Linked DNA regions of Schizosaccharomyces pombe. The gene in region 1 interacts genetically with each later gene. Each region holds a gene or a part of one and is shown in the gene's direction. Other genes may lie near its edges. The genes, in order: SPOM_SPCC126.01C, spo20, mca1 and SPOM_SPAC9G1.07.

Evidence for each region.
Region 2: mutations in SPOM_SPCC126.01C (region 1) and spo20 together harm fitness more than expected from each alone (negative genetic interaction), as found in Schizosaccharomyces pombe (one large-scale study listed by BioGRID).
Region 3: mutations in SPOM_SPCC126.01C (region 1) and mca1 together harm fitness more than expected from each alone (negative genetic interaction), as found in Schizosaccharomyces pombe (one large-scale study listed by BioGRID).
Region 4: mutations in SPOM_SPCC126.01C (region 1) and SPOM_SPAC9G1.07 together harm fitness more than expected from each alone (negative genetic interaction), as found in Schizosaccharomyces pombe (one large-scale study listed by BioGRID).

Annotation. Positions count from the first base shown.
Region 1 is NC_003421.2:2,111,267-2,118,004, reverse strand, and holds SPOM_SPCC126.01C (uncharacterized protein), read left to right. Parts: upstream 1-1,579; coding exon 1,580-2,689; 3' UTR 2,690-2,799; downstream 2,800-6,738. Other genes in the region: Ku domain protein Pku70 , read left to right, coding at 1-299, 345-554, 608-718; SPOM_SPCC576.17C (pyridoxamine/pyridoxine/pyridoxal transmembrane transporter), read left to right, coding at 4,615-4,671, 4,847-6,367.
Region 2 is NC_003424.3:605,435-612,942, forward strand, and holds spo20 (sec14 cytosolic factor family, phospholipid-intermembrane transfer protein Spo20/Sec14), read left to right. Parts: upstream 1-3,534; 5' UTR 3,535-3,557; coding exon 3,558-3,716; intron 3,717-3,764; coding exon 3,765-4,067; intron 4,068-4,094; exon of another isoform or gene 4,095-4,263; coding exon 4,264-4,386; exon of another isoform or gene 4,387-4,408; intron 4,409-4,449; coding exon 4,450-4,725; 3' UTR 4,726-5,269; downstream 5,270-7,508. Other genes in the region: poly(A)-binding protein Nab3, read right to left, coding at 4-1,415; exosome 3'-5' exoribonuclease subunit Rrp6, read left to right, coding at 5,452-5,718, 5,777-7,508. UniProt on the Schizosaccharomyces pombe protein: Required for transport of secretory proteins from the Golgi complex. Catalyzes the transfer of phosphatidylinositol and phosphatidylcholine between membranes in vitro. Essential for viability and secretion.
Region 3 is NC_003424.3:2,982,578-2,992,573, reverse strand, and holds mca1 (transcription factor), read left to right. Parts: upstream 1-3,720; 5' UTR 3,721-4,144; coding exon 4,145-6,238; 3' UTR 6,239-6,564; coding exon of another isoform or gene 6,565-7,788; 3' UTR 7,789-7,841; downstream 7,842-9,996. Other genes in the region: chaperone Rot1, read right to left, coding at 628-1,076, 1,303-1,417, 1,467-1,601; U2 snRNP-associated RNA-binding protein Sap49, read right to left, coding at 2,114-3,009, 3,067-3,178; SPOM_SPAPB1A11.03 (L-lactate dehydrogenase (cytochrome)), read right to left, coding at 6,565-7,788.
Region 4 is NC_003424.3:1,980,080-1,987,146, forward strand, and holds SPOM_SPAC9G1.07 (Schizosaccharomyces specific protein), read left to right. Parts: upstream 1-2,913; 5' UTR 2,914-3,102; coding exon 3,103-4,128; exon of another isoform or gene 4,129-4,173; coding exon 4,174-4,359; 3' UTR 4,360-4,463; downstream 4,464-7,067. Other genes in the region: cytokinesis protein Cyk3, read right to left, coding at 1-1,878, 1,962-2,028; SPOM_SPAC9G1.08C (phospholipase), read right to left, coding at 4,489-5,214; putative mitotic spindle organizing protein Mzt1, read right to left, coding at 5,271-5,465; PAK-like GC kinase Sid1, read left to right, coding at 5,678-5,794, 5,851-7,067.

The DNA of each region.
Region 1 (6,738 bases):
TTCACATTCGAGACGATTTTGAATTACCGCTAGGTATATTTCTTGTTCAACTTCCAACAGCAGATGATATCCGTAGTCTCCCGCCTATCAATCCGAATCCGATATCCATGCCTAGCAATTTAATCGAAACGATGCAACGTATTTTACGTGGTATGGAGCTGCGTTCATACCAGCCAGGAAAATATAACAACCCATCTTTGCAGTGGCATTACAAAGTTCTCCAAGCGCTGGCGCTTGACGAAGAAATTCCGACTGACTTTGTTGATAATACTCTACCAAAATACAAAGCTATTCAAAAGGTATGAAAGCTTTAGTTGCCTTGTACAACCATGTTAACATTTTAGCGCGTCGGGGAGTACATGGGCGATGTTAATAATATTGTCGCTGAATATCGTAACGATATTTCTGATAAAAACGGAATAAAAGAGGAAGAAGAGGATCAGGGACCAATTGTGAAAAAGGCTCGAATAGAAAAGAGTGGAAAACCTATATTTGCTGAAGATGATCGTCTGAAGCAGCTTTACATCGAAGGAGTTTTGGACAAGGAGATAAAAGTAAGTACTTCATTTATCTTGTAAGATCTTGATTAGTAACAGTTCATATGAAGGCGTTAAAAGTTAGTCAACTTAAAGATATTCTCAGGGATCGTGGACTTAGAGTGAGCGGTAAAAAGGCAGATTTATTAGACAATCTAACGAACTATGTCAAAAAATTATAAACAAGAAAATATTAAAGGATTAAATATCAGCATCATGTTTATGAAACAATAATGGAATCAGGATAAAATTTCTTGTTTATAAAACGATCAAATTATTTTATTAAAGCGTATATGATTAAAAAGCTTTTGAGCATACCAACTCAGAATATAGGGAACAGGAAGAAAAAGAATTTTGCCGCAAATGATAATGTGTATATTGTAGAATGTAATATGTTATTACCTGACTACGTCTTTCTCTGAACTTTCGACAAACAATTCAACCTTCACTAACGTATGCTTCTTTTGAGTGTTTTTTTAATACATATAAGTTAATTTTTTTTTCAAAGTAGTATAAGTCGTAAATTGTATCAATTCTATTTTTTGCCGTATAAGTTAAATATTTTATAGTAATCATAGTCTTAACGTATATTTAAATACTAAGAAGGTATCGGACACCTACATTCACATTTTAAAAAGATTTCTGAGAAAACAGTAGGATGTTAATTAGATCGCGCGAATATGCGTTTTGAACTCAGAAGTCAATTTGTAATCTTAAAGTTCTGCACCTTGTCCTCAATCTAACCATTATAAAGACTGTAGTTTAAACTATAGAAAAAAGGTCTTAAAGCAAATAATACTTTAATAACACTACTTAATTGAATTGCTTTTGATATTTTGTTTCGTAAAAGTGCTGTTTATTCAAAATTACGATTTTTCTTTGCTAAATTTTTTTTCTTTGCATTTCTTTGAATTTTTGTGAAACTTGACGAACATAAAAAGTGCCTAATAACAATTTAAATTTTCAATAAATATTGCACTAACTAATATATGGTCAATACAAGTAACCGAATTCAGCTTTTTATGTGATACGGCGACGATCAAATGCAAACCAACAATCCTTCATACTTTTTTCGCTCCGAGAGTGCGTTGCAAGATGAAAAAAGAAAAGAAGAGAAATCACATAATCCAAATGGGAATCCTAGAAATTTAAAGGCAAAGATTTTGAATATTGAGCTAGATCGGACTACACCAAAAAAGAAGCAATTCCCTAGACTATTTGTGTGTGAAGCTTCTCATATATGCAAACTTTATGACTTGGAAATAAATAAAACTTGCAAAACATATAAGGGACACTCAGGTCCTGTCACATGCTGTCAAATTGAAAGTCTTCGAAAAGACGGCAAAGTACGGCATATTTACACTGGTTCTTGGGATCATACCATAAAAAAATGGAATGTCTCAACAGGTGAATGCGTTGAAACGCTAATTGGTCACACTGACTACGTTAAATGTCTACTGTTACTGGAAGAAGAGGGATTACTGTTATCTGGGTCAACAGATGCTTCCTTAATAGTATGGGATGTTTCTTCTCAACCAAGTCGCCTACTGTACAAGCTTACAGGACATAGTCGTGGAATCGAGTGTATTACCAGACAGCCCAACACAGACATTTTTTGGACGTGTGGCAGCGAAAGCAGTATTCGGTGTTGGCATATTACTAAGGTTGGCGGCAGTCAGTTAGAGGAAGAAGGTTTTTGGGGACACCAGTCCAACGTTTATTGTTTACTGTTTGATCCACAAGATTCTGAGGCATTATGGACAGCTTCGGCAGACAAAACTGTTAGAGAATGGTCCTTGTATCAAGGTATACACGAAGAAACTAGAATGGAACACCCAGACGTATGCACTGATGTTCTTACTCTAGCTGATGGAAATATAGCAACAGCATGCAGAGATGAAGAAATTCGTGTATGGGATACAACAACTGGTAATGTAAAAGATATATATTCTGGGCACTATGAATCAGTGACAAAAATTTTACAGTGGAAATCTTATTTGATTAGTTCTTCCCTGGATCAAACGATAAGAGTGTGGGATTTAGAATATTCTGCAGACAACAACGAAGCAGACGATCACCCATCATTGGGACCCCCTTCTACCAAGTTAACTGCAGAAGAGCTTGCAGAGCTAGAGGAATTGATGAACGATTGATGTTCAACTACTGTTGCAAATAATTCTTACATTTAATCAGTAAAAAAAACGCTCCCTTTTTTGTATAGAATCAGTGCATTGGATTATTAAACGAATATGGAGTTTAAAAAATAAACAAAATAAGGAATCGGATCAAGAAGTTAGAAAATAGATCCTTTTGTCCGAATTCATATATGGCAATGCGAGTAGCTGCTTATAAGGAAAGCCCATCAACTAAAGAAGTAAATATAAGAAGAAAGAGTTGGAAAAGAAAGCAAAAAAAAATTAATTATATGCATCACGTCAAGAGTAAAGCAAGTCTTTGATAAAAGGTTTACTCACCTTTTTCCTAGTAAAACTTTATGGAATGCAGCTCGGCCTCGCACACAATATGACTCATGAATGTTTGGAAACCACTGACTAAATGTACATCCGGTCGAGATGAGTATAATAAATTCGAAAACCCGCTATATGGGTAAATATCCGTAAATTTGAAATTCGAAAGAAGTATGGCCAGACAGTTGCGTGACAACAAAGCATGTCATTCCGATGAGAATAGCCAGAATATTGAAAGGTGAAATGAAAAAGAGAGATAGCAATGTAAAATGCCGACAAAGAAGAGCCTTTGCTAAGAAAAAGGGCTCTTGAAAGTTCGATAGTAACCTAATTAGCTTTGGGGAATTGAAGTGAAAAGAAAAGCATAATATTGGAAAGGCATGCAAAAAGCGCTTTCCCCAATTTTTCGCCAAACAACAATACATAATTTTCGTTTTTTTAACAGAGAATAAGTATACAACAATTCACCTATCTGTATGTAATTAAAGAATGAACATTGTCGCACGACGAAAACCAACGTCAAATCTGATCAAATGTAGATCAAATGGAAAAAAAAAGAAAGAAAGTAAATAACACCAATGATGAATTAAAAGTCATTCTCAGGAAAAATTTCCTTTCGTCTTTCCGCCCAAGTGCCGATATTATCTATGGAGAATTTGATACATGAGTCTATACATGGAAGTATGTGCGAGGCAGAAAAGGTACTAATTTTGATGAATGATTTTTTGTGTTTGGCGCTTTATCAAGCAACCATCAACGCTGATAAAGCTGAAAAAGGGTCGCGAAAATTTTTTTTTCGATACACAGAGTTAAATTCTTGTTTGTAGTGCCGTCAATGTATGAACGGGATGTGTACGACGCCATTTCCCTCCCATTCCTTTATTCACTTTATCCATCCATAAACCTCCTACTTGTTTATCCCCTAATAACCGCCTCTTCCTAGGAATATTAAAGCGATTTCCCCAATAGGGCATTTCAGTGTAGCTTCCCAATTGGCTTTAATGTATCGAAGCGTCGCCCTATGGGGTCATACCACGCAGCGTTTAGCTTCGCCCGTACACATGACGAACGCCCCTTTGGTCATTACAGAGGCAGATCGATGATTGGATTCGCTAAACAGTCATTCATCCAAATACCACCATTCATCGATCGCCTCTTATGCGGGCAGTCGTCGAGACTCCTGGAGACCGCCCTTAGCGACGAGGTAAGAAGGGAGATATCGGCGGCAACTCGGAAACTTACGATCACGGATCAACGGCTACCCATCCAATCAAATTAATAGCGAGAAAAGCCGCTTCTATGATGTCAAACTTAAATTCTCTCTTGAGCAAGTTTAAATAGAGGCTGGTAGCCGGCTCCATCAAAGGGGAACCCATCTTTCCGACTAACCGGATTTGTTTACATTATTCGTTTTGCAGGTATTTGCAGGAAACCCAGCAAAACGTATTCAAGAGTTCGCTGAACTTGACTAATTACCATTGCTTTTTTCCTGTATTTGATCCTTTTTCTCGTCCTTTCGTCTCACTCTCTTTTTGTGCGTCAGTGGGAGACAGCGGTGTCGCTCATTACATATTAGCAAAATGTCAATAACATCTTCGAATTCACACAGCATGAATGATACAAACGATGTGATGCATGTCCATAGTGAGTCTATAAGTCCAAAAAAGGTATGCAGGGCGTTTGACTATTGATTTAGAGGTTGCGCTAGTACCAGAGGATCCTTGGTCGAGTCCTATAGAAAAATTATTTTTTCCCTCTTTCACTTTTTCTTATAAAAAAAAAAAAAAAAAAAAAAGGATGTTGCTCATGAAGGCATTTTCACTAACAAATTCTTTTCTTTAGAACGATTTAGACATTGAGCTGGGAGAATCGGTCGTCGAACCCCATTTGTCCAATAATAGTATCGCCAAACTTGATACATACGAACTCGAAGAGAACGAAGATATCTCTGACTATGCCTATAAACTTGCTGGCATTTCCAATGAACATCCTGCTCATCCACAAAATTGGGGCTGGTGGAAAAAAGCGTACATTGTGTTGCTATCCACGTCACTTCAAATGTATGTATTTTGGACACCCAATTTCTATCCTGGTGTACAAGACTCTGTTATGGAGTTGTGGCACTTGTCGTCTCAGGTCTCACTTTTAGGTCAGAGTATGTTTGTTTTGGGTGTCGCTTTGGGCCCTCTGTTCTTGGGTCCGCTGTCCGACCTTTTGGGTAGGAAGTTGGTTTATATAGGCTCTTTAATCATCTATGTGTGTTTTTGTATATCCTGCGCTCTTGCCCGTAATTATGCGCAACTCGTCATTTCCATGCTGATCATGGGTGTCGTGGGCTCCACCGCTTTAGGCAATGTTGCTGGAGCTGTCGCCGACGTCTTGGGCGATGAAGATTCAAATTGGGGCATGTACATGTTTATTTTCATGTGCTCCGTTGCATCCGTGGGCTCACCCATGGGAACCGGGGTTGCCGAAAACCCAAAGTTGACTTGGAGGTGGTTATATTGGATTGATGTTATTGTAGGCGGATTTTTCATCATTCTCTTCGTCTTTACCCCCGAAACATTGCCCGCCATTGTAATACAACGTTATGAGCAAAAACGTCAAGGGCTTCCAGTTTCCTGGTTTCCCCAGTTCAGCTTGAAGAAACTGGCAAAGGACACATACTTTGTCTTTTTCATGGCCATAAAGATCTTCTTTAGTGAACCCATTGTAAGCTCATTAGGAATATACAACGGCTTTGTCAATGGTCTTTTATATTTCTTTTTACAAGCCATTTGGCCTGTGTATTTCTCAATTTATAAGATGTCAGATATGGCTGCTTCATGCACATATATGGCTGCCATGCCTGCTTGCGTAATTCTCCTCTGGTTTGAGCCTTTACAGTGTTGGTTATATAAGCGTGATAAGCGAAAACATCAAAATCGTCTACGACCAGAAGCACGCTTTATAATGACTCTGTTTTACGTGTGGGGTTTCCCAATTGGTATCTTTATGTTTGCTTTTTGTAGTAAAGTGCATATTCATTATATAGTGTCATTGATCGGTTTGACCATTTTCAATATTGCCGATTATCACATTTGGCAGGCAATGCTTTTGTATGTTACAGATGCATATCCCAATGTTTCAGCATCTGCTGTCGCCGCCTTCGAGCTTCCCTCCAATTTAGGTGCTGTCGGCTTTATCCATCTTAGTGCTTTAATGTTCAGCCGAATGAACGTCCATTGGGCCACAGCCGTCGTAGGCTTTGCTTCCCTCCCTTTAATCGCCTTGATTTATGCTCTCTACTTTTATGGCGACCGAATTCGCGCTCGTAGTAAGCTAGCGTCTCAAAGAGTTCCAATCAACACGGCTGCCCATTAGTCACGAATATGTATGAAGTATAATACATCAAGCTTCATATACCCCATCCGATCGATAAATTGCACCAAAATGTACTTGGTGATCTTACTGATAACTTTGTTATTATAACTTCCTGCATGAAATAATAGGTTGAAACCGGATTCACTTGTCGCATACGCACTTCTTCATACTTTTAATATCTTTCACATTTTGTTTATGATTCTATAATCATGTTTTTGTCGTTTAATAACAATATAAAAGGATTTCACATTTTTTGCCAGAACAGGCTTTTTTCCATTCCCTCTACTCCCTCACATTTAATCCTTTATTTTTTGAAACCGCATATTTAATTGTGAACAATAATAATAATACGGTAATCATTATTATTTACG
Region 2 (7,508 bases), on another chromosome or scaffold:
TACCTGCTACTAGTGGGATAAGGAAGGTTTCCAATCATTTCAGAATATTGATTACTTTTGGTAACATGTGATCCTTTCTTCATGTTTTCTATTTGATTTTGATATTTCTTCTGAATTTTAGAAATTTCCAAATGCAGCTTTTGACCCCGAACAAAATTGCCTTGTTCCGCATTTAAAGCCCTAGCACAATCTTCGTTTGTAAAAAACTGAACGAAACCATAATTTGCTTTTAAAACTATCTGTGCTAAAGGCCCATAAATTTTAAAAACTTTCCACAAATTTCGTTTAGATAAGCTCTTTGTATTTAGATGACCCAAAAATAAGCGAGAAGCTGAAGGAAATTGCCCTGGATACCAGTTTGACATTATACTTTCTTCATCTTTCAAAAATTGTTGAAATCTTTGTTCATCCTCTAAGTTCATTTGCAACGATTTCTCGGCAGCATTGTTACCCAAATATTCAACATTTTGTGCTTCATGATTAAGTTGCAAATTTTCAGGACTATACGCAGATTCCGGGGAACTGGGTGTCTGGGGATTATGATGTTCATGTAATTCATTATGCTCATTATAATAATTGGGCAAATTAGCACTATACGAATAAATACTAGTCCTGTGAGCCTCAGGACTAGTTGACAAGTCTTTAGAATAGGGAATAAAATCAGTAGTTCTATAAGGTAAATCTAATTTCTCATGAGACTTTCCATATTCAATTTCTTCAAAATTCACCGAGCTATAAGTTTTTGACGGATCATAATAAGTGGTGTTTTGTAAGGATTGTTCAGGTAAATGCTCTGAAGCGGTCTGAAAATCGTATACTTGTAAATCTTTAGTAGAAGAGTTTTCAGTTTCTTGTTCCACTGGTTCATTGGATATCGAAAAAGGCTTATTTTGCTCAACGTCGAGTGAAGGAGGACTTTGAGAGGTAGATCCGTTTCCCCCCGAAACACTTGGTTGAGTAGTGGAAAGTGAATCCTTACTTTGAAAGTCGGAAGAAGTTGACTCTAAAATTGGAGCTCCATATATGTTTTTAGAAATTTCCTCATTGTTGGTGTCCGAAACTGGAATATTATTATAAGTATCTGAAGGAGTTAACCGAATGTTGCTAGTAGCTGAGTTTAATATTGGTATCTCCAAACTTCCAGAAGGAATACCGGATACTTGATCAAAGTTTGCATCATCTGACTTATTCCCATCCTTATTTTCTAATGTACGTTCATCAACGTTGTTGAATAAAGTGTCGTCTTGTGTTTGTAAAGCACTTATCGAAGCAGCAGCCTGTTTGACAGGTGAGTTGTAGTCTGGTTCATATGGAGATGATACCTGGTCTTGAAGCTCGGAGTTTGTACTGGTTTCTAAAATATTCTGCACAGGAGTTTCCACTTGGAACGAAGAATCTTTAGACGAGGATGACATTTATTGATTGACTTGAAAAGTAAAACCAAAATAAAACATCAAATTTTTTTAATTTATTATTATTAACAGGGAATATGAAGGAGAATTAAGAGGACAGAGTAACAAAAACAAAATTAGCTTTAAAAGATTAAAGTACTAAATTTTATGCATTTGATAAACTGGTCCAATTTTTAAATAAAATATTTACACAAGGTGCAATGAATGGAAATAACTAGAGGGTGAAACAGAAAAAGTAAAAATTTCACACTCAACCAAATGTGTAAAGAGTTGGCGATTAAAAGGAAATTTATGCAGATGGTTTTCTTCCAACTACCTTTATTTTTTTTTCTTCTTCACAACTTTATGTCTTAGGTAGAAGATACGGCGGAGTGGTACTAAAATTGCATCCTTTAAATAGATGAAAAATTAAGTTGCCACTCAAATGAATGGAACTTCGGGCTTTTCAAAACCACCGCCAGGGAAATGACATGAAAACAATTTTACTATCCCGAAATTTTCTTTTTTTCAGCTTCTGCACTGATAGCATAATCGTTTCCAAAACAAACTGTAAACTAAATTTTCATAAAAGCAGTAAATTTTCAAACTTGGAGATATCGGGGTAGGGTTACCGTTATTGCAGTTCAAATAACCATTGCTATTATTTAATATGTATAAAAAAACCATGTAGTAATAGACTCGTGTGCAAAGTACACTTCAGCTGGGTTTGAGGTGCAAGGTTGCCAATTAAGAAACGTAGTACTGATTCTTTTCACCTCTACCATACTTATTCAATGTTAAATGCTTATAACATTGATATCCACGGTTTTCATCCTATATTCAAACTATGCTTCCTGCCTTTAGTAACAAGCTTGCGTAATGCATTGTTTCCTGCATTTATTCGTTTGTTAAATTATAACGATATTTTGACGATTATACTATCCTTCCGTAACGTTAATATAATAATCAAAAATTTATATTGTTATAGGTCTTTAAAGGTAAAATCAATGTAAATAAATGTATTATTGCTAACATGTAGAAAATTTGATACTAACTTGAAAATTTTATGCAAGTACAAAATGGACTGTCCATTCAAGCAATGCCTTTCACTCTTGTATGTTTTGTTAAACTTTGCGTGGAAGAAACGCTTTCAAAATTATGGCTGAAGTTCGATCGAAAGAGAAGGAAACAATAATTACGTTTGCGAGACAAAACTAGTTTTTAAAAAAATTTTGTATATATATTTAAGTGGCTGTTAGTCTAATTATTATTTATTTTATTCATTCTTTAGATTTTATTTTATTTTATTTTTTATGTCGTATAGTATTACTTTATTTACGTTTCAATATGTATTTTTTGTTAAATTGCTTATTCACGAAATATTTTTCCATTTGCAATAAAATTTCTTTTCCTTTACTATATTTGCTTATTTAAAGTTCTTTTTTAATCACAACTCTATGACAATTTTCTACTCCTCATTTATAATACGAAAACTGAACAATCATAAAATTGAACTGTTTTACTTCACATAAATATCCAGCTACGATACTCCTATACCGTTTTTACATAGACAACAATCTCAAAATCGCAATATGATCATCCATTTACATATTCTATACTCTATGTACTATAACGCTTCTTAGTGCCTGGTTTACTCTTTCAAAGCTGTCAGGTGCATAAATATTGATGACAGAAAATCACCACAAGCGCACTCAAAGGCTTAAATAAAATAAACATTATCTATCGTTCGTTTTTTTTGGTAAAGAAAAAATGCTTCCACAAAGTTAAATTGTCACTTTTTCCCCATGTTTTATTTACCTTCAACGCCTCGTTGAAGGCCATTCTGCATCTCAAATTTGTCGCACTTTTCATGCAAGTTGAAAAATTGGTTATACACAATTTAAACCTCATACGAGGAGCTTCTTCCTCTCATCTGATTTTTAACACTGAAGTTTATCCTCATACTCACATATAACAATAGCGTTGGGTGTAGCATGGCAACAAAGGTTCCTGCGGTAGTAGGTAAAAGGCCCCCACGCTTGACTGATCCCCCACGGCTGATGACCACTAGTATTAAGGTCGCTGACGTTCTTCCTTTTCCTTTATACATCTTGTACAGACTGGGTCATTAGGTCTTCTCTCTACAACCATCGTCTAAACAAAAAGATGTCAGAAACTATATCGGATCCTTATCCTCTAACTAATCCAAATGCTCCATTAGGGCACCCAGGGCATTTGAATTCTACACAGCAAGCTACGCTAGATAGCATGCGTTTAGAGTTACAAAAACTTGGATACACGGAAAGATTAGACGATGCCACTTTAGTAAGTTGTACAGCAGGAAACTTTGTGTTTGTACTAATGGATTCTTAGTTGCGTTTTTTGAGAGCCCGTAAATTTAATTTGCAACAGTCGCTGGAAATGTTTATTAAATGCGAAAAGTGGAGAAAAGAATTTGGTGTTGATGATCTTATCAAAAACTTTCATTATGATGAGAAAGAAGCCGTTTCCAAATATTACCCTCAATTTTATCATAAAACTGACATCGACGGCCGTCCGGTATACGTTGAGCAACTCGGTAACATTGATTTGAAGAAGTTGTACCAAATCACGACTCCCGAGCGTATGATGCAAAATTTGGTTTATGAATATGAAATGCTTGCTTTAAAACGGTTTGTAAGTAAATTCAAATGATTAAATGTATCTCCAGTAATTCTCATAATCAAACCTTTCCTTTGGATTTGCATATTCCATATAAGGCTGGTTTTTCGGCTTTTTAATAGAAAAACTTTTGGTTTTCTACTGTGTTGAATTTTTTGTGATATATTTTTTCATTTTGATATTTCTTTTCATCTTTATTAACCGTCTTCAGCCCGCTTGTTCTCGTAAAGCAGGAGGCTTGATTGAAACTTCGTGCACAATCATGGATCTAAAGGGTGTTGGTATTACTAGTATTCACTCGGTTTACAGCTACATTCGTCAAGCATCAAGCATTGTAAGTTGAAAATGTTGAAATTTTTGTTCTTTTTTTTTTTTTTCAAGTATTAACACGTTAAAGAGTCAAGATTATTACCCCGAAAGGATGGGCAAGTTTTATGTAATTAACGCTCCTTGGGGATTCTCTTCTGCCTTTAATCTTATCAAAGGTTTTTTGGATGAGGCAACTGTCAAAAAAATTCATATTTTAGGCTCAAACTATAAGAGTGCTCTGCTCGAACAAATCCCTGCTGATAATCTTCCTGCTAAACTCGGTGGAAACTGCCAATGTCCAGGTGGCTGCGAACTATCTGACGCCGGTCCATGGCATGAAGAACAGTGGATGAACAAAAATTAGACTTCTTTCTCCGAACGGGATTTAATTGCTAGAATAGATGAATGTGGTTTGTCCTTTGATAAGAGTAATAGTGTGTAGAGTTTTTGCCGATCTTTCAACTTTGTTCTGCGTTTTAGTTCTTAAAGGTCTTCGTTCTATTTTTACTCAGCATCTCAGGTACTTCCTTCTACTTACGGTTTACTATTCGACGAAATTATCGTATATAGATCGAAGCATATATAAATATTTTATTTCGAAAGTCATGTGTTGATCCATCATCAACATCATGGGATGGTTGCTGTTACAATTCTTAATCCTTATAGAAGGTCTCAATACATATATCGTTCATTAATTTTCCAAAAAAGGACGCTCGATGATCCAACTGATTTGATTGTTTCATCCATTCTAGATTATCCGAAGTTTTTAAATTTGTAATTCATCTACTTTGATTATTTTTTTACTTTTTGATCAAAATTGAATGCCTATATTATAAAAGACCTCTCTATAGTTGCCTGCTAATAGTTTCACAATTTTGAACTAATCATAAATAATTGCTTTTACATAATTCTGCTAAGATTTTGCATTTGTGTAAAATATTTTATATATATAAAAATAGCTCTTGTATTTCGTACTTTAACGATGTCTATATTCAAGTTCGGTAATTCGTTGAGCGTGTGGTAAAAGTGCTTGAAAATTCCTGAACCAAACCAAAAACCTTACTGATCCAGTAGGGTAAACAATAGCATAATGGATGAGTCAGAATTGTTTAAGGGTTTAATGAATAGTACAGCCTATTGCTCTGAATTGGCAAAGGTTGATATACCGTTTTATAAATCAATTGATACCGAATTCAATGAAAACATAAAAAGTGTTTCTTCTCGTTTTATGAGATTAATTGAATTGCTTCTTTCTAAAGTAGACAGAAGTCGGGCGGAGGATATTGTGGACGTTGAAGATATAGATAATAGATGGGCAGAAGTATCGGACACATTAGACATACTCTTTGAAAAAGCTGTAAGTGAATTTTTGAAATTGTAAACGGATTTTATTTAACTAAGACGTATGAATATAGGACTATTCTATCGATAAAGCTCAAGGACTTTTAAAAAAGCCAGCGATCGAAACCCATGCGTCGACAAGCGATGTTGCCAATAAAAAACCAAAGAAAGAAAAGTTGCCCTACAAGGTTATTCACGCAGCTCATCTTACTAAGCCTCAATTAAGGTTTCGAGTACAGCCTAATAATTCCAGGGAGTTTGTGTGGTCTTGGAAGTTAACTGAAAAACCACATTCGTTAGTACCGCTCGAAAAGATTATCGCTCAAGTCAAATTGGACCCTAGTCTCAAAAACTCGTTACCACATCCATATGAACCAGAAATACAAAATAGCGTATATCCTCCATGGGTTTCAGAAATGTCTAATCCCATCGATACTGGCTCTGTCGACGAAACAGAACCTATCTGGGTTAGTACTGAAAGTCAGTTATCGGATATGCTAAAAGAATTACAAAACAGCAAAGAAATAGCCGTTGATCTTGAACACCATGATTACAGATCATTTAGAGGGTTCGTCTGTCTAATGCAAATTAGTAATAGAGAAAAAGATTGGATTGTTGACACCTTGGAACTCCGCGAAGAGCTTGAAGCTTTGAATGTTGTTTTTACTAATCCAAATATCATTAAAGTTTTTCATGGTGCAACTATGGATATCATTTGGCTGCAAAGAGATTTCGGGCTTTACGTTGTAAACTTATTTGATACATACTATGCTACTAAAGTTTTAGGATTTGAGGGTCATGGTCTGGCTTTTCTGTTACAAAAGTATTGTGATTATGATGCAGATAAAAGATACCAAATGGCTGATTGGAGAATCCGTCCTTTGCCTCGGGAAATGTTAAAATATGCTCAATCTGATACGCATTATTTGTTATATATTTGGGATCATTTACGAAATGAACTCATATCAAAATCAGCTGAAAGAAAAGAAAATCTTATGCAATCAGTGTTCAATTCCAGTAAACAAATATCTCTTAGAAAGTATGAACTTGAGCCTTATGATCCTATTTATGGACTTGGTACTGATGGCTGGAGAAATGTACTTACTAAGTTTGGCTCTTCTAAAATAATTGGACGGGAAGCTTTGATGATTTATCGAGCACTGCACGATTGGAGAGATTCCGTAGCCCGAAAAGAAGATGAAAGTGTTCGCTATGTGTTGCCAAATCGTTTACTTATTGCGATTGCCGCCAGTAAACCGGTTGAAGCGGCTGATGTGTTTTCAATTTCTAAGCAATTGACACCAATTGCTCGCATGTATGTTGAAGATATCGTTAAAGTCGTTCAAGAAGCCGAAAAGTTGTATAATGAGCAAGTAGATCGTGAGAAATCCCAATTTAAAGAAGTTGAGAAGCAAAATCAACCGCTAGCAGTTTTTTCCGAATCGAATACTTTGGGTGATTACAAAGTTGACTCCAGTGTTTTCGAGATTTCTAAACAAAATAGAAGTAAACTAAAGACTTTGCTGGCAAATGGATCTGCGTTTTGGATTGAGGGACAGTCGCAAGATGATTTACGGAAAGCTCGTAAAGAGAGACTCTTTATAGTGAACCAGAATATTCCTTTTTCATTAACTCTTCCTTGTACTCAAGGGCATGTTGAATCCGAATTGAATGTAAAGCAGTCCACTGTAACTGAAGCTGCAAACCCGAGTCTGAATGGAGAGAAGAAACAAGAGCCTATAGTCATTAGGGATTTAGGGCTGAACAAGCAAAAAAGGGATTCTTCTAAGCTTAATCATAAAGAAC
Region 3 (9,996 bases), on another chromosome or scaffold:
TTTTGTCCTCTTTGCCTGGAATAGTGAGTAACACCGTTGATTGCTTAAACGAAGAATTGTATACTTGATAAAAGAATAATTTCTGACTAAACGATATTCGTTATAATAATGAGTGAACTTTACGACTTAATACACGTATTGTATTATCAAGTAAAACCCCATTTCTTCAGAGACAATATAATTACATAAAATAATTTGCTTGACACAATAAAAAGAGAGGAAGCTTCCATTATTTAATTATTTGCCAAAGGCTGTATACAAATGAATATTTTAATAATAAACAGTATGATAACCAATGTCACCATAGTTAAACTTATTGAGAATTCGAATCTACGAAGATTTACGTGAGAGTGTTTAAATGTTGTATTAAACCAACTACTTGTTTATAAAAAAAAAGAAAATGAAGAAACTATAAAGAATCACTAAATGTATGGAATGTAAAAAGAAAGTAAAAATTTTAAATGCTAAAGCGTTTAATCCCAACTCGTCAGCGTTGAAATGAGTAAAATGGAATGCCATCTTTTTAAATGAAAACGCATCGTATAAATGAGCGGTAAAAAACGATTCTCAGAAAGAAATGTAAATTTGAATCCAATAACAGTAGAAGATGTCGTCAATAAAACACACTCAAGATACTACTAAATACCCAATACTTCCAATTGCAATCAAACCTAATCCAACCCACCAAATGGTATTGGTATGCTTCTGAGCTAACGGTACTAGAGGAGCCGTCCAGCGCTTTGCTGCAGTTTGAATAGTATTAACGGCAATAGTTGAGGTAGGGAGCATCTTAGGTGGACGGTAAGCTAAAAACATTGGCTGCTTTGGTGTTCCGTCCCATTCATAGAGCTCTAATTTGTAGCGACCATGGTATCTATCCATAGAAATTTCATATTTTTCCATAGTTTCAACTTGATCATAACGGGTGTAAACAGAAAAATTGCTAGTACAAGGATCGCTTTCTAATTGTCGTCCGTCTCCAACAAACGGAGTTAATACTAAAGTACCGGTATCATTGATAGCATAAGTTCCATGCTGCCATTGTAAAAAGCCTTTGGGACATTGAGGCTTTGTAGCTAAATTGGGTTAGCAAAAATATTAAAGAAAAATAATATCTTCTCTCCAACATATCCTTCCAAATGGAAGAAAGTTGGTTACTTGGGGAATTTCGCTAAACATGAACGAGAAAGTAGTCCGTATATCCCAATAGTTACGTCTTCATCGGCTTTAATTCCTTGGATCAACCACACTGTAGGTGTTGACTGGAGAAGATTTTACATATTATAGAGTATTATCACATACCATTTGATTTGATTATGTAAATAGCTTCCTCAAAAAAGCCATCATCAGTAAAGCTATAACTAATACCCGGTAATTCAGGTTCGAAGAAATCCTCATCCAAAGGGTCAAAGAAATCCTGCAGAGGGTTAGTTAGACAATTTTTTGAAAATCAAAAGTTAGCTTACGGGGCCAGTCAAAACAGTTTCAGACTTGGAAGACCAAGTTCCGACTAGATTTTCATCGTAATTATCAATTTCCGCACCAACATATTGGGTGAGCCACAAACAGGTAAACAAACCAATTTGATAAAGAAGATGCATTGTGCTGAATGCTTTCTTATAGTTTTCTAAAGGGTCGAATAAGAAGCTGTTACCAATGTTTATGCAAAAAACTTCTATATGGTTGTTGACACAAGTCTTCGTGTACTTGATTTATTTAGTTTTACGGGATAACGAGTCAAAAATAATACTTCACTAATATTGGTCAAGAGATTAGCAGCTTATATTTAATATAATGCTTAGACTATACTTTCGTTTGGATTGTATACATAATTCAATGTATCTGAAAATATGTTGGATTGAATTAATGCGTCGTTTATAGACTATATTGCCGATATTTAGGGACGAAGTAAAACTCATTACTAGAAAAAGTCAAACTGTAAAATATAAACAAACATCAATTTTAATTTCTTTTAAATAAGATAAATCTCAGCTTCCACTTTTTTTACTGTACACGTTAAAAAAAAAATCAACCATACGGATCAATCTCAGCTATTTTACTATGCCGGCGTTTGAGCAACAATGGTAGTTATTTTGCTTCTTTTTAAAATATTTTACCTCCTTTGTTGTTGACTGTATCCATTTTGTGCATTGATTGTTTGATAAAATGGTATGTTTGGCATTACAGGAGCACCAGGTATGGTAGCAGCAGCAGGAGAAGGAGAAGCCATCACCATTCCTGGTGGTGGAGGGGGGACAAGTGGTGCACCTCCAGGGCCCATTGGAACATTCATCATTGGCATAGCAGGCATTCCAGGGAAATGCTGTGCAGCAGTGAAAGGAAGAACATTAGGTATTGACAAGGGAGGGACGGCAGTAGTTGCTCCCACTAGAGGAACATTCGGTACAGGAGGTATCGATGTAGCAGCAATTGTTGCTGGAGTATTAGCAGCAGATGTTGGAGCAGGAGTGGCGGGTGAAAATCCTGGAGGCAGAGTACTCTGAGGAGTAACGGCAACTTTATTCTTTTTAGCGGCTGCTGCTAGCTTTCTTTCCGCAATATCTCCGTGACGTTCACCCTTTCCTTCGCGTTTAAAGGCGTATGACACGGTAATTGGTTTATTCATTAAAAACTGATTATTCATGGCCTCAATGGCTGCATCAGCGGTTTCAAAAGAATCGTAGCTAACAAAACCATAACCTTTCGACCTTCCATTCTCGTCTCTTGCTACCTGAGGTGCCTTGACAAGTTGTCCCAAAGCAGAAAATGTATCGTACAATACGCGTTCATCAACAAGAGGATCCAAGTTGCCAACAAATAAATTTGCACCAATTAAGGTATTGACTCCTCTGTCCTGGCTAGCTCTATTGACCCTTATAGGCTTTCCAAACAACTTTACTTGATTCAGAATTTGACATGCATACTCAACATCTTGTTCGTGTAAGAATTCGCAGAAACCAAAGCCATTATGACTATTCCTTACTCTATCTCTTGGAATATGAATATTTACTGTATGAATTAGTATCGAAAGCCACAAATACAACCAACACTCGAATAATTACATACCAACTGGACCTGCCTGCAGGCATAACTCAAACAAAATAGAATCCGTTACTTTTTCATCAAGATTGCCAAGATATATAGTTGCATCCTGATTCCTGTCTTCTCGAATACTCATTAATAAATAAGTAAAAATAAGTTAAAGTGTCTATTATAGAAATTTATTAGAATAAATAGATAGACACGTTTGAAGACGCTGGTAGAAGATTCAAGAAATTGGTGCATAGTCTCGTTATTGACTTAATGACGAGCACCAAATAGCACAATAGAAAACTAAATTACAGTATTCATCGTTAAAATTTCAGTGTCCAGCGTTTTCCAAACACATTTATGGAGATTTTTAATACTAAATCTTCGTTTTTTTTTTATTATTTTATAATTTTACTCATGAGATTGAATTATATTCAAGTTGAAGGTACAGTTGTGAATGGTAGACTGACGAAATATTTTTTATAGCAACCTATCTCTTTATACAGCCCTAATTTCCTTACATCCATCGTACACTAGTACATTTAATAGGTTCATTTATTAACTTTTTGTAAAAACGATGTTTGGCCATGTATATTTATTTTTGCTGCTGTAGTTTTGAACACAACTGAGGGCTTATTTATGTTACCCTAGATGGGCTTTTTACTCCCATGTGGTCTTTGTAACCTTCTTATGATCTTCACCCTTCAGGTGATACCACGACTTCAGTTGAATTTTATAGCTTTTCGAGTGTGTTTTTAATCAAAATATTTCTGTGATGTTGGTGTTTTGAAAAAGCGTACTTGTGTAGTCCTAGATGCCCCTTTTTTCTTTCACTTAAGTCTATTATTGTTTATGTTTAATTTTCTACTTGCAAACTTTTCGAAAGGACTGTTCGTAGCCTTTACGTTTATTGCTTATTTATTTTTTCTGATTTAAGCTCGTGAGCTTTTTCTAACAGACGTACGATCAGACAATTGGCACGTCTGCTTTTCTTTTCTTTTCTTTTTTAAGACCTGTCTACTCAACGCAGGATTTCTTCGATTATCTAGGTTTTTAAACGGTTTAAAAGGACACAGAATATTTTATTACTTCATTTTAGTATTTTATTTTCGACATGATTGCTGCTGTCGAAAAAGATGCTGTGCCTCGAAAAAGGCGAGTAATCAGTCAAGTATCTCAGGCATGCATTCGGTGTAGGCAGAAAAAAATAAAGTGTTCTGGTGAAAAGCCATCATGTCAAGCTTGCAGTAACAACAAAGTTGAATGCATTTGGCCTGATCGACCGAATATGCGAGGCAAAAAGCCATCTTCCGCTGCCAGAACCTTGAGTCCTCTTACTGGTATAGTGCAACCGTATCTGGGCTCTCATCCTTTTTCTCCTACGATCCTCTCTCCATCATCTCCTAACATGGATTTTACTTACTCTATTAATAGCTTTGGTGACTATCAGAAGCAGTTAAGGCTACCAACCAGTAGAAAGTTATTACAGCTTTGGGACATATTTCTTAAAACTTCATATACCGAACTTTTTGGGATATTTAATAAGGCCCAAATTACGTCTCAAATTGCAAGTGATACTGCTCCGCCAGTCCTCGTACTTTGTATATGTGCTCACGCTGCTCGTTTCAGTCAAGAGGAAGTCAATAGATTTAAATCTTCAACTGCAGCATCTGATTACTACGCAAACCAAGCCTTTTCACTGCTTCCTTGTCGTTTCCAGGATATTTCACTGACTAATATCACTTGCCTGCTCTTGCTTTGCTTAATTGAGTTGGGCTCTTGTAGAGGCGCTAAAGCCTGGCTTTTACTGGGTATGGCTCTCCGTATGGTCGATTCTTTAGATCTTGGTAACGAAATAAATGATAATCCTCTTACGATGGGATCCAACACTGTTTCATGGACTGAAGCCGAGCAGAAAAGAAGGGTTTATTGGGCTTGTTTTTTTGTCGAACGTTTGCTAAGTACAGGTTACATGGCACCTTCAAAATTGCGCTCACTTTCTTTATCTCTTCAAAAGACTAGTATACAATTACCTTGTCCGGAACCTAATTTTTTATTTAATCAGCCAATTCTTACTGAGTTATTTGATGGATCTTTACCGGAAAACACTCAGTCAGACACCACTTCAATGGCCCCATACCAAAGAAGTTTACAACTGGAGTTTATGACGGGTTCCCTAATCCGCTTGTCAAATTTGTGGAGTGAGATCTCAAGATGGGCTCTATGTGGTGGATACACGAAAGATATCACACCCCCTTGGCTAAATCAGTCTCAATTCCATCGTAGCTTTGAGCTTTTAAAAGCCTGGCATGAAAATTTACCTCCAAGAGCAGTTTGGTCATACACTAACTATTCGGCGTATAGTTCTCCCGGAGAATCGGCTGGTGCCTGTTACACTTTTATGCATTTGCTATATCACACTACCTTGACCTATCTTCTGAGAAACGTCTTAGATTTATTTCCTGAGAAGTCGAGGCAGAAATCCAAACTTTTTTCCTCTGTTTCACAACGCTTCGGACAACAGCCTCCTACTGTATGGATGGATATGATTTTAGATCAAGTCATTACTTCTGCTGATTTCATTACAAAACTTTCAAAGGACCCCTTAAACTACATAATGAGCCCATTTGTGGGGTTTAGTATATTGACTGCTGCTACTATCCATATGCTTCTTAAGTTTTGTGTTGTCAACATCGACCAAAATTACATTTCTTCCTCTCGACTTGTACACGTTGATCATCAGATTTTACAGGATCGATCCAAATATTGGAAAATTAATCAAGCAATGTTGGTAACTCTTCAGAGATTGTATAATTTCTACCGCTTTCAGTATTTAGAGGAACAGTCACTTTACAATTTCAAAATTCCAGGATTTCCTTTATGTATTCTAGAATATGGTATAGTGGAAGATCAGTCGATGAAGTCTAATCCTGATCTGAATTCATTTTCAAAAGAGTTGTTTTCAAGAGGAACAAACGAGCTTTTGAATAATGGCGATGATACTCAAAGTGGGAATTCGACACCTGCTATGGGTGTTTCTGAAATACGAACTGATACTATTCTGGATGAGGAAGTCCCCGTAGACCCACTGATCACTTCGATTTTAGATGACGGTCGCTGGTGGGAGGAAATGTTTGGATCAGAAAGGAAGGCGGGTTTTAAGGAAACGGTGTTCGAAGACATGAATGGAAGAAGTATTCGATTGTAAATTATACGATGTACAATAGTTTCTTTAGTTTTTGTTTCTTTATTCTTTTGTATACTAGCACTCTAATTTAAAAAGCTTATAATGCTTTACTTTTTCTACACCCCTGGAATTCCTTTTATTCACGAACTCGAAATTAATGATATTGATGGAACTGGTTACTTGAGTCAGTTTCTCATAACACTTATTGATTGCTTTTTATGCTTATTAATATAAGTTACTCATATTCTTATTAATGGGTAGTTTTATATTACTCATAGCGTAAATAAATATTAAATGGTATAACGGGAATTAAACTAAATTTGCTGATCATTAACTAATGCATAAATTTATTCCTCCTTATATAAGACATCACGGTTTAAGTCCTTTGGTTTCACAGATACAATACCAGATAGATGTAGCGTTAATTCCAAATCTCCCAAGAGACAACGAATGACATGACTAACACCGGATGAACCTTCAAGGGCTAACCCGTAAACATAGGGACGACCGATTAAAACCATCTTAGCTCCTAATGCAAGGGCCTTGGCAATGTCAGCACCTGAACGAACACCAGAGTCAAATAGAACATCTAATTTATCACCAACAGCATCTACGATCTTTGGTAGCATCGTCAAGGAAGCAACACCTCCATCTTGTTGTCTACCGCCATGATTTGATACAACGATGCCCTGCATGCCATATTCAACTGCCTTCTTAGCATCAGGAACATTCATGATACCTTTGAGAACAATTGGGCCATCCCAATGTTTACGAAGGAACTTCAAGTCTTCCCAATCATGGCTGATTCCAGGAAAGACAATTCCAGCAAACTCTTTAGCTGCCTCTAACATATTTTCTTCGACTTCCACACCATGCTTCTCCTTAAACTGCTTACGGAAAACGGGGTCGGAAAATCCGTGTTCAACACCGATGCTGTCAGGATTTAAGAATGGATCGTAACCATTGTCCATGTCTGAGGGACGCCATCCAAGAATAAATGTGTCAAGAGTAACTATCAAAACTCTGCAGCCCGTTTTCTTGGCGCGGTTGAGCAAACTAATGGTAATGTCTTGATGGTCATTGCTTGGCCAATAAAGTTGATACCATCTCTCTCCAGGACCACTAGCCTTTTCTATATCTTCAAAGCTGGTTGCAGACGCAGTACTGATAATATAGGGTATATGCTCTCTAGTTGCAGCGGCACACGATCCACTTTCACCCTCTGGATTGAAAATTTTTTGTACTCCTACAGGAGCCAAGGCAATAGGAAAAGGATATTTTTGGCCAAAGACAGTGGTAGACAAGTCGGGGAAACCAGACTTGATGAGACGGTTAGGAATGATGGACCATTTCTTAAAGGATTCCATATTTTTATCATATGTCTCTCTTTTTCCTGCACATCCGTAAACGTAGCCGGCGGCATCCTTGGTCATTCGCTCAACAGCCAGTTGCTCCCAGTGTCTGCCATCTACGGTGATTTGGGGTCTTTGAAACTTGAGACCTTTAGCGTAAATTTCGGACTCATATGAAATGGGCTCTTTTGCGTCAAACCAATTGTAGTTGCGGAACATAGTTAAATCGTATTGAGAATTTATTGATTACTTAGATAATGTCTTCGAGAAAGGGAAGAATCCAAAAATGTCGTAAAAAAGTAATAGAAATTAAAATGATGAGTTTCTTAACTTTTAAGGTTCAAAAGTCTTCTGATATTGCAATGAATGAGTGAAAATATCGGACCGACAATTTCAACTTGGGACGAGGAGTGTATAAAGGCGAAGTTGTATTTTTTTAATATTTCTTAACAGATAAAGTGGTATTTAAAAGTAATAGTTTATATTGTTTTTTATTACAGCAATTCAGTGCTACATTTATAACTTTTGGTTTTCGAAATTATGTAAATATGACATCTCAAGTTTCATATTAAAACATTTGTAAACGAATTCGCTTTCCGTACCCATTGGGAAAAGCGAAATCCCGTTTTTGTCCAAATTTGAAACAACCAGAGATGATTTCATGAAACCTTTCATTAATTATTTTCCTAATGAATTTAGATGTATTGCGCTCAGCTACAAAGTCCATGTTCATTTAGCATCCTTTCTTATACTACGATGGCAAAACGGCTAGCATGAAATCGGTTCATTTCTACAATATACAAAGTAATACTGACATTGATTTACCTGCTACTAAAAGGCCCACGTGCCCGTGGGTTTCTCTAGCTAGTTTTTCCAACAGGACATATCTTATAACGATATAATGGTGAGTAAGTTAAGCATATTATTTATAGCATAATATCGTAATGAGGTTGGTAATTAATATTTTGCAAATGGATTCGTCTTGTTCTGCAACTTTGACATGTTGCTAAACCGTTCAATCTATTCTTTGCTAAAGAGGCTATAGGAGGCCAGAATTAAAGGGGGTGGTTTGATGTCCGGAAAGCGTATCGACCGATATTGTAAAAAATTATAATGTTAAATAAGAAAAAAAAAGTTATTACTTTTACGTTTCAACACTCAATTCAACGTCTAAATGACAAAGGATGAACTCTTTAGGTGATCAAGTCAATAATACATAATAATGTTTGGTATGTAACAAGACAACAGACATAACTACGACCCTGTGTTGCTCCGAAAACGCCGCTGAAACTGGTACTTTGAGATTCATAATATATGTCGTCAGGGTGAAAAACTATTTAACAAAAAATAAAGTACATCACAACTATCAGATATGGGATAATCGATAAGAAACAAGAATATCTATTATTATTGTTATACTATTTATAGAATCACAAAATGCATTCTGCAATACTTGTAGCTATATTAACAGTTCTATAATCAACCAGTAGTGGTTGTATTCAAGAAATCTAACTAAATGCTACTTGCTTGATCACATAGTAAGCGTTCTTAAACACTGGAATTACCACAATTCCAGATTATAATAGTATGCAAGTATAACTATCCCGATATAACGAAACATTACGTCACTTCAAATAATGTACATCGTAAGAAGACTTAAAGGAGAAAAGTGCTCAAAAGGAAATTTTCTTCTAGATACAGTACAAATGAGTTTGTCGTATTAGTTATTAAAGATTAGAATTTAAAAACCCCGTATTTTTTATCCCAAATATTATTATTATTATGTTTTTTTTGGAAGTTTTATAATAATTTTATTTTTTTGGTACAAAAGGACAACTAAATTAGTTCCAACATGTTATACTTTAAAAGCAAAATACATTTTGTAGCTCCGAAAGCATTCATCTTTGGTTAACGTGATATAACTCATAATTTGATTTTTTTAACGGATTTATCTCCTTCCGCCAAAATATATCATTCTAGGCCTCGACTTGGAGGGAATAGAATTTTGACAGGTGAATTGGATTATTAATGAGTTTATTAAAAAATATCAGATTTATGAAACAGCTACTCTTACTATTGGCGTTCGGTTCTACCCAATTGGTTGTTACCAGTGTTCACGGATAATTAAATAGTTAAGTATGATGAGTGTTGTTTGAAGAGTTCATTTGTTGCTTTATTTAATTAATTTTAATATTAAAAGCCTTATTTTAATAATTGACAATTGTTAATTAACGAAACAAGTCTTGCCTTTCTTATAAAATGAATAAATGAATAGGACAAGTTTCAATCCAGTAGATAAATCAAAGTTCCTTTTTTACATTTATTATTCCATAAATTCAAAGCAAACCTCACCTAAAGTTAGCCATATCATAAATTATACTCATCTTTCTACCAGCACATGTATGTGCGGGATGAATCTCTCTTAGG
Region 4 (7,067 bases), on another chromosome or scaffold:
GTAATGCCATTACTATAGGCATAGACAAATCTGGCATTATAAACTGCTGGTCCGGATTCTCAGGTACGTGAGTAAATATACACTCGTTTGGTTTCATTAAAAAATAAAAATCATTGGAGCTGCTGGATTTCAAGGCCTGCTGTGGGTGTGTTGGACTGGCAAAACTAGCATCAATTAGACGAACCTCATTGTCAAATGTAACAACATTCCAAGCATGATTTATATTAATATCTCTGGTATAATAGATGTCATCTGGTGATTTAAGATATCCTTCGATAACCTCACACCATAAATCTAGTGCTTGCAACATTTCTTTAACCAACAGTGCAACTTCAAAAGGAGTTCCCTGTCCTTCGGAAATTACTTGTGTACTTGTGCGTAATTCATCATTGTCCAAAGTTTGATTAGTGAACGTAATACGTTCAGAAATATATATAAAGACGGCTCTCATTTGAGCGAGCGCAGTCGTTTGTCCTGGAGCTAAATAATTTTTTGCAAGTACAGCAGGACTGACCTGGACACGTTGTGGAATAATTGACCTTATTTGTTTATCAATAGCACTAAAATTCATGTTATGAATATTAGTACCTACAGAGAACTGCACTGGCTCGCCGTCGGCTAAAACATTCCCAATACATTCACTGAGATCCTTCAATGGTTCATATACCGGCATCGAAAGCTTATTGAAGATTTCTTCCCGTTTCGCCGCAAACTCGGCTTTCGTGTATGTCTTTGTACGTTTCAAATCATCTTTTACTGATTTTAATGTATGAGGCGATGCAGGACGAACACCTTTTTGAGGAACATTGTGCGCCGGATAACTTACCGGAGGAGTTGGTTGGAGACTGGGCTTACGTTTTGACGATCCACGACGCAAAAGCTTTTTGAAAGTTTTTTTTAAAAATCCACCACCTTTTCTAAACGATTGAGCAGTTGAGGGTCGCTCCGTTGTTTGCGGTCTTGGCTTTATAACATTCGACGCGGTGGTCCGAACTTGAGTTAGTGGTATCAATGTTGAAACGGGTCTGGGAATAGGTGCGGGAGCACTCTGAAAACGCCTGTGCTGCGGAAAATAATCAGACGGAGATAAAACTGATGAAGCCATGGAAGGTTTTCTAGAAATATCTCTTGAAGACTTCATAGGTGATTCTCCTGGTTGCAAACTTGTTCTTGGTTTTGACGAATTATCTGTTGAATCATCCAGCTTGGATCGAGAAGTCATACTTGTGGACCCATGTGCAGGAGGGACAGGAATGAAGTCCGTTTCTTTGCTAGTTGTAGTGCTTTTCGTAAGTCTTAAAAGAGGGGAATTCGCTCGACTAAAACTTTTTTTGCCCATTGCATTTAACGATTGAAGAACATTTTCCATAGCACTTCTTAAAGGGGAAGGTGTAGATCTACTTAAATCTTGGGCATCAATCTGAGAGTCGTTATCGGCTGTATTGTCCCATCTGGAAGAGACATCTAAGTTGGTACGAGACATTGAAGATGGCGGTCTAGATACGCTTTTCTTAAGTGACAGACTTGATCCTAGCGAATTGAGCATGGGGTGACTTTTTTGGTGTTTTAGTGAGTCACTCTCTCGGGTTGGTTTATTCAAAGCATTTGAGCTTCCAACGAGATCAGGAGTTAGACCTTGATCAGATGAAGTTATTGGGGTGTCTATAGAGCTTTTTTGAGGAGAAGAATATCTAAAGCTAGAAGCGCTAGTTCTTGACATAGAACTGCCAGGTCGTACCGTGGGAATATCTAAACAGTGAACAAAGTTGCTAGGAAATATCCCTTGTGTATTAGTATTGATATGTCTGCCAATCCACCATTTTCCATCACCTATGCTTAAGCATTCTATTAAATCTCCTTCTGTAAATTTTAAATCACCTGAAAACACATTAATATATATTTTTTAAACTTTACATCAATAATTGCGACGTTACTTAACAGCATCTTTAAATGTTACGAACCTTCACGTTCACCTGGCCATGCATACAGAGCACGTACCATGCATGGTAGTTGTTTAGGAATGGACATTCCTGAAGGCTTAAAGGAATGAAATTATAGTCTTTGGTAGTTAATATAAAAAACGAGCGGAGCGGAAGTTCCGTAACGTGATGTGAGTTGTGTATGAATGTGAAGATAAGATTCTTATTTAAGCGAAGTACACTAATAACTTTGTTTTTTTTTTAGAGCTCAATTAACCGAGTACATCATAATTTTTCTAATAACGCGACTTATATACTTAGCGCACAATTAAAAAATGGAAATATTTTCAATAATACTCGATAAAATGCAGATCGGTAATAAATTCAACCATACTAGAATTTCATTTTAGGAAAATTAAAAAAAGAAAGATATTTGGCTACCATGAAACATTCTTTAACGATAAAGAGTGCGATGTTAGATTCATTTCATGTAGATTATAATTGATTTAGTGAGAAAATTTACTAAAATTGTTAGAAGTCCTAGAAGGGTTCATTTTAACTTGAAATATGTGGTACATTTGCACTTCTGTAATTTTTTTAAAGAGCTTTTTGCACAAGACATAATATTCAAATGATTTGAAACCAGCATCCATATTTATGCGCACTTTAAGCCATATTATTTAGATGAAATAATCTAGGTTTTAATTTACCAAATGTAATTTTCAAAAATTTGCACGATGCTTCAGTCCATATGAGATTCCTCTTTAATAAAGCTAGCAACTTTCGCCAGAGTATTAGATTAATTGTTTACTAGCTTAAAATTTGTTAAAAAACTCTGTCCTATTTTAAAATGATTACTTATAAAATTTATTCTTCTTCCGGAAATTTAATTGAGTTTATTTTATTTTTAATTTCACACTAAATACGTTGAACGGATTTAAGTTGCCTACTTGCGTTGCACACGATGTGGTGGCTTAAGTCGCTTACCCTAGCCGAACCGCTTTCAACTCATCTTGAGCATTTATACTAATACTCTAAAAAGGTTCCTTTTATAAAAGAAGTATAGTTAAGGCTCTTTTTGTTTTCTTTTTAACCCGAAGTTGATGGCACCTACGTTTTTTTTATCCACTCATATATTATTAAATTGAGAATCTACAACTTAAAGAACTGGAATGTGATTTATATGGATGATTTGCTGAACTCTGTTAGTTTTTCGAACGCCTCTAATCCTCATAATGCATGGGGTAGTGAAAATATATCCAACTCGAATTCAGCAATTCCCTCAATTACTAACGATGTCAGTTTTTCAATGGAGGCATCAGTCTGGAAAGAAAATGCTCTCAATCTTGACACATTTAATTTGAAAGATATTAATGAAAAGTTGGATTACACATTTGGCGTTGTCAAGCCTCCTAAACGGATTTCATTGGCATCCAAAGATTATATAGGTATTACAGCTACCTCGGAAACCAATTTTAGACAATTAATCCGCTTAGGATACAATGAGAAAAGTTTAGGAGAACTAAAACAAGGAACCATTAGTCGTTTACTTAAAGAACATATGACTTTATGGAACCAAGAACGGTCTAATGTAAATCGAAAAAGCAATGTGCTTTTTTGTTGGTCAACAGCTTATCAGAAGCAGAAAAGGAAAACAGCAAGCTATACCAATTCACCTGTCACACCGCCCATCAATGACAAAAATATTTTGTTACCGGAACAGTCTCCTTTATCTAATTTTTCTACGACCAAGATTTCCAGTATAAATGTTCCTTCAGATATACTTGATTTTTCTAATTTATCATCGAATGAAATTCCCAAGGATTATTCTTCTTCTACGGCTCTTTTAAATAATACAGTTGCTGTTAAACAGGATCACAAATTATCTGCAAATACTTTCCTTTCTTCCCCAGTCAAATTGATTGAGAGGGAAAGCAACAGTTGTTCTACAATTTCAATAAATAAAGAGGATGAAGTTGTTCCAAAATCACCACTAAGTTTGGATCGTAAAAAAGTTGATGAAGTCGAAGAACATTCATCAATCGCTAAACTTGACTCTGAAGAAAAAATTAGAGAAACGAAGAAAAAAAATTCATCAACGTCTCTTTCCCCGGATCCAACCTCTGATAATTTTGAATGGGGTTCATGGGTCAGTTCCCAAGATACCTCGAAAAACTCATCGAATTTAGCTTCTGCTTCCGTTGATGATGTAAGTGAAGAGTCTCAAGTTGAGCCAAATACTCTAATTTTTCAGAATTTTAGTTCACCTTCTACTTCATTGTCAGCTCCTAAAGACACTCCGGCTGTTATTCAATCGATCAATACTTCGTTTCTTAATAATGAGAGAGCAGGGCGTGGAAATATAAAAACAGTTGACCAAAATCAACTAATTAATAGAATTGTTGATAAGCTTCCGGATCTTAGTTATCTTGTCGATTGAAAATCTTAATGATCAAAAGGTAAACGTACTAATTTTAATCACATAATGGCTAGAGGAGTTATTGTTATATCTATGCCCAAATGAATATTAACTTTATTGTGAACAAATGTTAACTTAAATAAATCAATTCTAAAAAGATGTAAGAGGAATTGCATCTTCAAACAACGTGTTGTGAATATACAAATGTTTACTAATAGATTGAACGAATGTATACCATTCTCTAGGGGATGAAGGCATGTCAGTTTTATCATCACGATTCCAACATGTGAGGTGAAATGGTTTAAATGTTTTACGTAATCGCGATTCTTCATATTCGCTGCATGAACAATGCAATCGCTTTTCAAACAAATACACTGGAACATGAAATGGATGATTGGGCAAAGTTATGGATAGCGGTAGAGTACCTCCAAAGGAAAATATCCCTCCAAGCTGGTATTTAGTAGACAATTTATAACAACTATATAAAGCAACCATAGCTCCTTGACCAAACCCGAAAAAAAATATTCTAGAAGATAATATACCGTAAGAGAGTAGATTGCCAATTAAATTTGAAATCATCGTAAAACTTTTAGAGAAATCGGCTTCAGATTGCAGTTCCCCGTTTTGATCAAAATGGACATCCTCTCCCCACATCCAATTGCCTCCAGGATTTTCAAAATCTAATGGTAATCGATATGGTCCACGTAAGGAAATATAACTAGTGTTGGGCAACGGAACGTTCTTTGCCATATTTGCAAAACTCTTGTGAGAATCTCCAAGTCCATGCATTAAAATAACTACATTGTGAACCTTGTCTTTCCCTTCAATAATCTCTGCGCATGCATTTGAAGGTAGAACACTGTTTAAAGAAGACATTAGATAAAAGAAATACTAAACCCCGAGGTCAACTATTGAGATTAAACTTCTTGCCATTAACTTGGTTCTGTGTCAACAGTTTGTTCCTGAGCCATACGTATTTCCCGAATTATTTGAGCTATTGCTTCTGGGTGTACGTTGTTTTCACAAAGACTGATGCAGAGTGAAAGCGTTGTTTTATCAAGTTCAGTTCCAAGCAATGTTCCTATTTCGTATAAAACTTCTATTGTCTCTTTGGTAGATTCAGACATAAAACTCGATACTTTATAATAAACTAGTCTAATTATATATACTTCGTAACAAGTTGGTAATGTTAAGTTTACTGGAATAGGCGTCTCGGAGTAGCTCATTATAATCCTCTAAGTAATAAACAAAGTACTTCGTGGTGCATCTAGCTTGTGCTTGTAAAACGAAACCGAAAGTAGGCTCAACCTCAGATTTGAGCAGTCAAAATATTGATGAAATGTATCCTCTCAATGCTAATTCTTATACTCTGCTACGGAAATTAGGATCAGGTTCATTTGGGGTTGTCTGGAAAGCACGTGAAAATGTGTCTGGCGACATTATCGCTATTAAACAGGTAAGACTAATTAATTTTTACTCTTCTTTAGTATCACAAAAAACTTACAGTTGCAGATTGATTTAGAAACAGGTATTGACGACATTACCGACATCGAACAAGAGGTATTTATGTTATCGAATTGCAACAGTTCCAATGTAATTCAGTATTACGGTTGTTTTGTTGACGGATACACATTATGGATTTTGATGGAGCATATGGATGGAGGATCAGTTTCGGGACTTTTGAAAATGGGAAGGTTGAATGAACAAGTAATTTCAATCATTCTTCGAGAGGTCCTTTATGGGCTAAATTATCTTCATGGACAAAACAAAATCCACAGAGATATCAAAGCCGCCAATATACTACTATCTTCCTCTACCGGAAACGTAAAGCTTGCTGACTTTGGAGTTGCCGCTCAACTTTCGAACGCTGCTTCGCGTAGACACACGTTTGTTGGAACGCCATTTTGGATGGCACCGGAAGTAATACAACAAACAAGTTATGGTTTAGCTGCTGACATTTGGTCTCTTGGAATTACGGCTATTGAAATGGCTAACGGAATTCCGCCCCGCGCTACAATGCATCCAATGCGTGTCATCTTTGAAATTCCTCAATCCGAGCCTCCAAAGCTAGATGATCATTTCAGTCCAACATTCCGTGATTTTGTGTCCTGCTGCTTAGATCTCAATCCTAATATGCGATGGTCAGCTAAAGAACTCCTTCAACACCCATTCATCAAAAGCGCAGGAACTGTGAAAGACATTATTCCTTTGCTTGTTCAGAAGGAGAATAAATTATTTGATGATTCGGATCAAAGTGTATTGGAAGAAACCATAAATAATACTTTAAAGCCCTTTGAAGAACCAATTGCTGAAGGAAATGCTGACATTGAGGATTGGACATTTGAAACTGTAAAGAAATCTGACTCAACTGTGTTAGGGAATACTAGCATTCCTAAAAATTCCATCATCAGTTCACAAAATAAAGAGGAATTGCCTTCATCAATAAAATATTTAGAGAAAACTATAATGAGTGATCAAGCGACACCGCATCCTTTTTCCAAGTCATTGTCTGAAAAAGGTAGCTCTTATCATAAATCGTTGACTTCCGATTTTGCTATGAAACATTATATTAAGTCCACCATACGATCGATGTTATTAAATGATAAATTGTCAGCAACGCAGCGCTCATCTTTAGAATCTTTTTATACATCTTTCATTTCTTTAGATAAAAATCTGTCCTCAAAATTTGTTAACCAAATTACTCCAGACAACAGACTGCATCACAAAAA